Linked DNA regions of Cricetulus griseus. The protein of the gene in region 1 interacts with the protein of each later gene in a pairwise test. Links are inferred from orthologs where the notes say so. Each region holds a gene or a part of one and is shown on either strand. Other genes may lie near its edges.

Region 1 (3,378 bases):
TAGCAGCTAAAGCAAGTCCCACCACAAGGGCAGGTGGCATTGTATTAAATAAAATCTAGGTTCCAGCCTGCTCATGTCTGTCCCACAGCAGACAAATAATTGAGTTATCTAACCACACAGATGAGGTGTGATGGATTTTCTTTAACATTCCCCTTCTTATTTTCCTACTGAAAGTAAATTGGACTTTTAAACTCAGGCTGCCCTCGCTAATCCCAACCAGGAACTTAGTCCTGATTCTGTCCAGGGTGAACCAGCCTTTACAAAAGTGAAGTCTCTGAATGCCTTTAAGGACCCTTTCTTTAGACCCCTGTGAAGACTTCAGACCCTATGTACCCATTAATTCAGTTGGGCTTCCTGTCCAAACACAATCCTTTACAGCACCTAAACACGGGGTTCTAGCAATCTTCTACCCTCCAAAATCGGGATGCTGGCCCCAGACTCACCTCTTGCCCACGCTAACCTCTTAGCCTTCGCTCTCTCCTCCCACAACATTCTGGGTCAGGAGCCCTGGCACCTCCTGGCCCTCCTTCCACCTTTGTCTGCTCCCTACTCTCCTGGAACTTGCCCTTCCTCCTGCCCAGGCAAAGTGTGAAGGGCCAGGAGGCCTGAATCCGAGGGCCGAGGTGTGGTCCTTGAACAGATCCAACAACCCTGAGATTGGGACTCGGCCACGCGCGGGAAGGGAATGCACGCTGTCCAAAAGCAAGTGCAGCCCAGGAATGAGGAGGCCAAGCCCAAGCAGCTGGGTTTTTCCAGGGCCGGTCTGGCCGGGTAGCGAGAGGTTCAGGAGGGTCTGGGGAAGAGGGTGCAAATTGGAAGAGATCCAGTGACAAAGAACCGCAAGGAGCGCGGCCGGGAAGCGGGAGGCGGGGCGCGTGCGCGGTGGGCGGGAAACCCGGGGGCGGCGGCGAGGCGGGCGCGCGCCCCGCGGGGAGGGGTGCGGAGGAGGGAGGAGGCGTCTGGACCGTGCAGCCCCGCGCGCCGAGCCAGCTCCAGACAGAGCATCGCTGCAGCCGCCGCAGCAACAGGCGGCGGGCCGGGCTCGCGGGGCGGAGGCGGCGGTGGGGCGGGGAGCTCGAGGAGGAGCGACTCGGGGCCGGCCACCTCCTGCAAGGAAGAAGAGCACCGCCGCCTCCCGCGCTCGGCCACCGCAGCCCTCCACCCGCCACCGCGCCCACCCTGCGCAGGACCCCGCGAGCGGCGGGCGCGCGCACCCTGCAGAGCCCCGGCCGCGCCGAGCTGCCGCCAGACATGACCGTGGTGCCCGGGGACCACCTGCTGGAGCCAGAGGCGGCGGGTGGCGGCGGTGGGGACCCGCCTCAGGGAGGCTGTGGTGGTGGTGGTGGTGGCGGTGGCTGCGACCGCTACGAGCCGCTGCCGCCCGCGTTGCCCGCCGCGGGCGAGCAGGACTGCTGCGGGGAGCGCGTGGTCATCAACATCTCGGGGCTGCGCTTTGAGACGCAGCTCAAGACCCTCTGCCAGTTCCCAGAGACGCTGCTGGGCGACCCCAAGCGGCGCATGCGGTACTTCGACCCGCTCCGCAATGAGTACTTCTTCGACCGCAACCGACCCAGCTTCGACGCCATCCTCTACTACTACCAGTCCGGGGGCCGCATCCGCCGGCCGGTCAATGTGCCCATCGACATCTTCTCCGAGGAGATCCGCTTCTACCAGCTGGGCGAGGAAGCCATGGAGAAGTTCCGTGAGGACGAGGGCTTCCTGCGGGAGGAGGAGCGGCCCCTGCCCCGCAGAGACTTCCAGCGCCAGGTGTGGCTGCTCTTCGAATACCCCGAGAGCTCGGGGCCGGCCCGGGGCATTGCCATCGTGTCGGTGCTGGTCATCCTCATCTCCATTGTCATCTTCTGCCTGGAGACCCTGCCCGAGTTCCGCGACGAGAAAGACTACCCCGCCTCCCCGTCGCAGGAAGTGTTCGAGGCCACCAGCAACAGCACGTCGGGGGCCGCCTCTGGAGCCTCCAGCTTTTCGGACCCCTTCTTCGTGGTGGAAACCCTGTGCATCATCTGGTTCTCCTTTGAGCTGCTAGTGCGGTTCTTCGCTTGCCCCAGTAAAGCCACCTTCTCCAGAAATATCATGAACCTCATAGACATTGTGGCCATCATTCCTTATTTCATCACTCTGGGCACTGAGCTGGCTGAGCGACAGGGTAATGGGCAGCAGGCAATGTCTTTGGCCATCCTGAGGGTCATCCGCTTAGTAAGGGTCTTCCGCATCTTCAAGCTCTCCCGCCACTCCAAGGGGCTGCAGATCCTGGGGCAGACACTGAAGGCTTCCATGCGAGAGCTGGGGCTGCTCATCTTCTTCCTCTTTATAGGAGTCATCCTTTTCTCCAGTGCAGTCTACTTTGCTGAGGCAGACGACCCTTCTTCGGGTTTTAACAGTATCCCGGATGCCTTCTGGTGGGCAGTGGTAACCATGACAACTGTGGGTTACGGTGATATGCACCCAGTGACCATAGGAGGCAAGATTGTGGGCTCTCTTTGCGCCATCGCAGGTGTCTTGACCATTGCACTGCCAGTTCCTGTAATTGTTTCCAACTTCAATTACTTCTACCACCGGGAGACAGAAGGGGAAGAGCAAGCCCAGTACATGCACGTGGGAAGTTGCCAGCACCTCTCCTCTTCAGCTGAGGAGCTCCGAAAAGCCCGGAGTAACTCCACCCTGAGTAAGTCGGAGTATATGGTGATCGAAGAGGGGGGTATGAACCACAGCGCTTTCCCCCAGACCCCTTTCAAAACGGGCAACTCCACTGCCACTTGCACCACGAACAATAATCCCAACTCCTGTGTCAACATTAAAAAGATATTCACTGATGTCTAATATACGATTCAGTTGACAAACTATGCCCAGTATTATGTGGAACGTGCCCCCTTGGTCTGTGTGTGCCCTTGATTTATACATTTCCAGACCATTCATCAAGGAACGGACGTGAAGAGGTGGAAAAGCACACTTCATCCTCCCTCTCCCTATTGCTTCATACTGTGTTTAAACAGGTGCCTGTTCTGCAAGTGGGCTGCATTCTCTCAGCTCTCTCTCTCTCTCTCTCTCTCTCTCTCTCTCTCTCTCTCTCTCTCTCATTCTCTCTCTTTCTCTGTGTGTGTCTCTCTCTGTCTCTCTTCTCTCTCTCTCTCTCTCTCTCTCTCTCTCTTCTCTCTCTCTCTCTCTCTCTCTCTCTCTCTCTCTCTCTCTCTGTCTCTCTCTCTCTCTCTCTCTCTCTCTCTCTCTCTCTCTCTCTCTCTCTCTCTCTCTCTCTCTCTCTCTCTCTCTCCTCTCTCTCTTTCCCCCGTCTTTTAATTTTGTAACCAACAAGCTTACATTAAAGCTTGGTTTCTAGTGCACGCCCTATGAAAAACTACATCC
Region 2 (4,339 bases), about 160 Mb from region 1:
GCAGGATACTTGGAATCAAAGAGCATCCTTTTTCTGGTGGTCTATCATGCGCGTTGGCACACAGGTTGATGAAAGACTTTAGAAAAGGTAATTTAGCAGACATAAAACCAAGGAAATTTGCCTTTTGGAAGATCTTTAATCTCATGGTGAATAATAGCTAGCATAAGTGATGTTTATCACACTTGCTGTCCCTAGTTAAAATTGATCCTTTTATTTTTACAACGTATGACTAATCACCCTTATTTGATCAGTATAATACATGCAAGCATTGAAATATCACATCATTAGCATATGGTCATCACATGCTAGTCAAAATAGTTAATTCAAAAACTGGATTGCCTTTTGTCCCCATCAGCAAGGGCCCAATCTGCTGATGTCATTGCTCTTTCCATGTCTTCTTTCCAGCCAGATGATCAGGTGTTTTGGGGTGTCATTCTCTATCCTCAGACACGTGTTTCCTCTTCATCTTCCCCCGATCCCATGTTCCTGCCTCCTGGTAGCCATTTTTTAAATTTATCTTCTGCCCTTTCCAGTGTGCTATGCAAGGGTTTGTGTATGGATGCTTAGGTAAAAAACATCCTTCTCAGTTTATGGCGTGTGAATTTCATACCTGCTGCCTTGTGTTAGTTACTCAATTCTTTAGCAAGAAGCAACTATCGTCTGTTTGATTTTTCTTTACAATAAAATACAGGAGGTTGGCAGATTTTGAAACTGATCTATTAGTTGTTAACTTAAAAAAAAGTCTAGTCATTTTGTCAAAACCCATCTCCTCTCACAGTTAAGCATATCTTTCTGGGCAGGCGTCCTTTAGAACTGAGGATGTAGTTTAGTAGTAGAGTGTTTACCTCCAGGCAGAATGCCCAATGCCCGGATTTGATCTCAAGCCAGCAAGAAAAACCCACTCTGGTAACGAACCTGAACCTCTAACTAAAATTTTCTACAGTTGAAAATGTTCAAAGTACTTATGATTACGGCACAACCTGTTGATAGAAATTTCATTTTCTTTTTTGTAGAGATTGATAATGACTTTACCGGCACCCACACAGATTCCTTCCTTGTGTTTATATGTAAAGTGCTCCTTCGGGTTCCCAGTCAGAGACAGCCCAGTCCTGGGAGATAATGGAATGTGGGCGAAGTTGGGAAGCAGCTTAGGACAGGGCAGAATTCCTCCTGCCGCGCCGGATGCCCATACTGGGCATCTTTGCAGACTCTTATGCTCCCTCCACCCCTGCTGAGATGATGCACTGGGAAAACATTCGCTCTCCCAGGGATGCCTCTCTGTTGGTTTATAGCTGGGAAAACGTTGCCCCGGGTCTAAAATATCTGCCCAAACAGCCTAGCGCTGATGAAGGCTTTCTCACAGGCTCTCAGCTCCCCGCGGGCGCTCCCCGCCCTCTGTTGCCAGAACCTTGGGGATGTGCCTAGACCCGGCGCAGAGCACGTCCCAGCCAACTGAGAGAAGAACAAACCACTGGCGGACAGCCAAGAGGCTCCCTCCCAGCCACCGCCCCCCCGCCCCCGCGCCAGCGCCTTTTCCCCCCTATACAATACAAGATCTTCCTTCCTCAGTTCTCTTAAATCACAGCCCAGGGAAACCTCCTCAGAGCCTGCAGCCAGCCACGCGCCAGCATGTCTGGGGGCAAATACGTAGACTCCGAGGTAGGCTTGGGTGAGGGCGCGCCGGCTCTAAAGTGCCTGCTTTTGCTATCTCCCACTCCAAATGCTCGGGCTGCTTTCCTGGCCCCAGCCCTCTCTCCACCTTCACAGCACTCCCCTCGTGCTGGCACCGCTGAGGAATGGACCTGGGTGGGGAGCTGAAGAAAAGCCAGGGGTGTTTTAAGGCTTCCTTTTGGAGAGGCGACCAATGGAGCCCACCGGGCAAAGGAGGGTCGGGGTGCCGCGTTGGTAGTCGGCCGGACTTAGAAAAGTTTTTCAGATGGCACCGTTAAGACCCCCCCCACCCCGGACAAGCCCCTACTTACTGGGAGGCTGAGAGCTGGTGCAGTGTGTGTGTGTGTGTGTGTGTGTGTGTGTGTGTGTGTGTGTGTGTTGGGGTGGCGTCATTTGGCCACAGTTCTAAGGACAGTCCCCATCAGGAGCCTAAAGTGGCTGGCCTGGGCGGTGGCGCGCGCGTGTTGCACTTTGAGCAAAGTTCTAGAGCACTTCTATAATTTCTGCCCCTGGGCGGCGGCCGGGATGGGGGGTTCCGAGGTGGGGGACCCTCCTTCCTCAACAAGTACCACCACCATTGGCAACTACTTCTTGGCACTCAGATAGCATAAAGGTGGAGACCTCGGTTCCCAAAGGTGACTACCGTTCAGCCTCGGGCAGACAGCCTGGGGGTGATCTAAGTAAGGGTGGGTCAGGGAGTCCTTCAGGTGAGATGTCTTCCAGAACATTTTGAGGGGTCGGGCATATGCCTCGGCTCAGAGATGAAAGTATGATAGCTATCCACGCACCTCATCCACCCCCACGGCCTAGGGAAAGCCGTGAAGCAAAAGGAGCTAAAGGGTAGGGGACGCGGCAGGTGCGGAGGAAGACGCAGGGAGAGACAGAGAAGATGGGACCAGCCCCTGTCTGTATGGTCCAGTGGGATCTTAAAGATAACGGTGGAAGGGATCGGGAACAGGATTAACAGGGTCAGGACGGGTCAGTGGAGCAGGTGAGGCTCTGGGGACGCGGGTGGCCTGGAGGAGAGAAGGGGTACAGAGCAGGAGGAACGCGAACCCCCTGGGCTGGGGAGTCGCTGCCAGGAGCTGCAGGGAGCAGGAGGGCGAGCATGGGGCTTCGCCCTGACCCCTGGCGGCCGGCGAGGGAGGCAGGCGCTCCCTGCCTGGTACCGAGGGGTGTGGTGTCCTTCCCTCCGTCCTCTTAAAAAGCTTGCGGCACTGGAGTTTTCTGTGCGCAAAGCCTTCAGGGTTGAAGTTAGCCGAGACTTGGAGCTCCAGGCTCCCCCGACAACAGGCTGACTTCTGACGCTTGTTTTTCTTTCTGAACTTTTTTCCCACTGCCTTTGCCATCCTCCCCTGGCTTGGCCGGCTGCCTTCACAGGGACATCTCTACACCGTTCCCATCCGGGAACAGGGCAACATCTACAAGCCCAACAACAAGGCCATGGCAGACGAGGTGAATGAGAAGCAAGTGTACGACGCGCACACCAAGGAGATTGACCTGGTCAACCGGGACCCCAAGCATCTCAACGATGACGTGGTCAAGGTAAGCCATGGTGGCTGTCTGGGTCCCACAACCCTTCTCTCTCAAGTAATTGGGCGTCCTTTCATAGCTTTGTCACACTGGCACTGTTTCCTAGGCTTGGCTGTATGTGAACCCCTGGTCCCTTGTCAGAAAGGTCTCATCTGCCTTGCCTCCTCCTACTAGCTAGTTGAACAGAAATTTAGCTAAAGTGAGCCTTGTGGGAGTTCACAGAACCTCAGCCACAGGTGGGCCCCCACATTACTTGGGAAAAGAAGATGACTGTGGTCCATTGCCAGGTTAATAGTCCAGTGACAGGTAAATAATAGTGTGCACCACGGTGAAGGTCAGAATACAGTATAAGCATATTCCTTCAGCTAAAGCAATCTAAAGTGATTAGATTAAAAATAATAAATGAGTGGAAATGCTTAAAACTATCTTATATGTATATATTTTGTATGCAATTGCATATATATAATATACATATATATGAATAGGGTTTTAACTATAAAAACACAGCACATGTACAAGGCTAAGCCAATTTACCAAACTGAAAATAATTTCCACCTCTTAACTTCTGGATCCCTCTAGTTAGATGTGGAAAGATGCATCTGTGGTGACAGCCAAGGTCAGCCTGCCCTGGGCTAGCAGAACATTCAGGTTGGCGTTCCATTTTACACTTTGAGGATATACTTGCTGGGGTTTAAAATACATTACTTTCCTGGGTTGTTGGCCGAATGTAGACTTGACACAGTGGTCTGATTTTCATTATCATTTTGTTATTCAACTTTGACCCTTTTAGCAATTCTAGCTCAAGGAATTTATTGTCTGAGTCCGTGTGGGTTGAGAAATACTGGACTTGAGCTGTCCTTGGCAGAGGATTTCCTCTGAGTGGCCTGGAGGGCCAAGGAAAATCCTGGCCTCGGGGTTCCAGTGGGAAGGAAGCCCCTGTCCTGCCCAGCCGCTAATGCAGGCACCACTGAGGAGCTCATGGAGTTTCCACCCACAGACTCCTATCTATGGATGGGAGGAGCTCCAGTGCAGTTTCACCTTTATGAATAATATATTTTAGAAAGGGAAATGGTTTAATCTACAACTGGAGGGAAAGTGTACCTGTGAAAATTCACTCTCTTGTTTTGCTGGTAGA

Evidence for each region. The genes of interacting proteins can lie anywhere in the genome.
Region 2: the proteins of Kcna3 (region 1) and Cav1 come close enough for resonance energy transfer, tested with the Homo sapiens proteins (2 studies listed by BioGRID). The link is inferred for Cricetulus griseus from reciprocal best matches to the Homo sapiens genes KCNA3 and CAV1.

The regions. Positions count from the first base shown.
Region 1 is NW_023276806.1:50,098,046-50,101,423, reverse strand, and holds Kcna3 (potassium voltage-gated channel subfamily A member 3), read left to right. Parts: upstream 1-1,151; 5' UTR 1,152-1,251; coding exon 1,252-2,838; downstream 2,839-3,378.
Region 2 is NW_023276806.1:209,233,757-209,238,095, reverse strand, and holds the start of Cav1 (caveolin-1), read left to right. Parts: upstream 1-1,520; 5' UTR 1,521-1,629; coding exon 1,630-1,659; intron 1,660-2,175; exon of another isoform or gene 2,176-2,306; intron 2,307-3,051; coding exon 3,052-3,216; intron 3,217-4,339. UniProt on the Homo sapiens protein: May act as a scaffolding protein within caveolar membranes. Forms a stable heterooligomeric complex with CAV2 that targets to lipid rafts and drives caveolae formation. Mediates the recruitment of CAVIN proteins (CAVIN1/2/3/4) to the caveolae.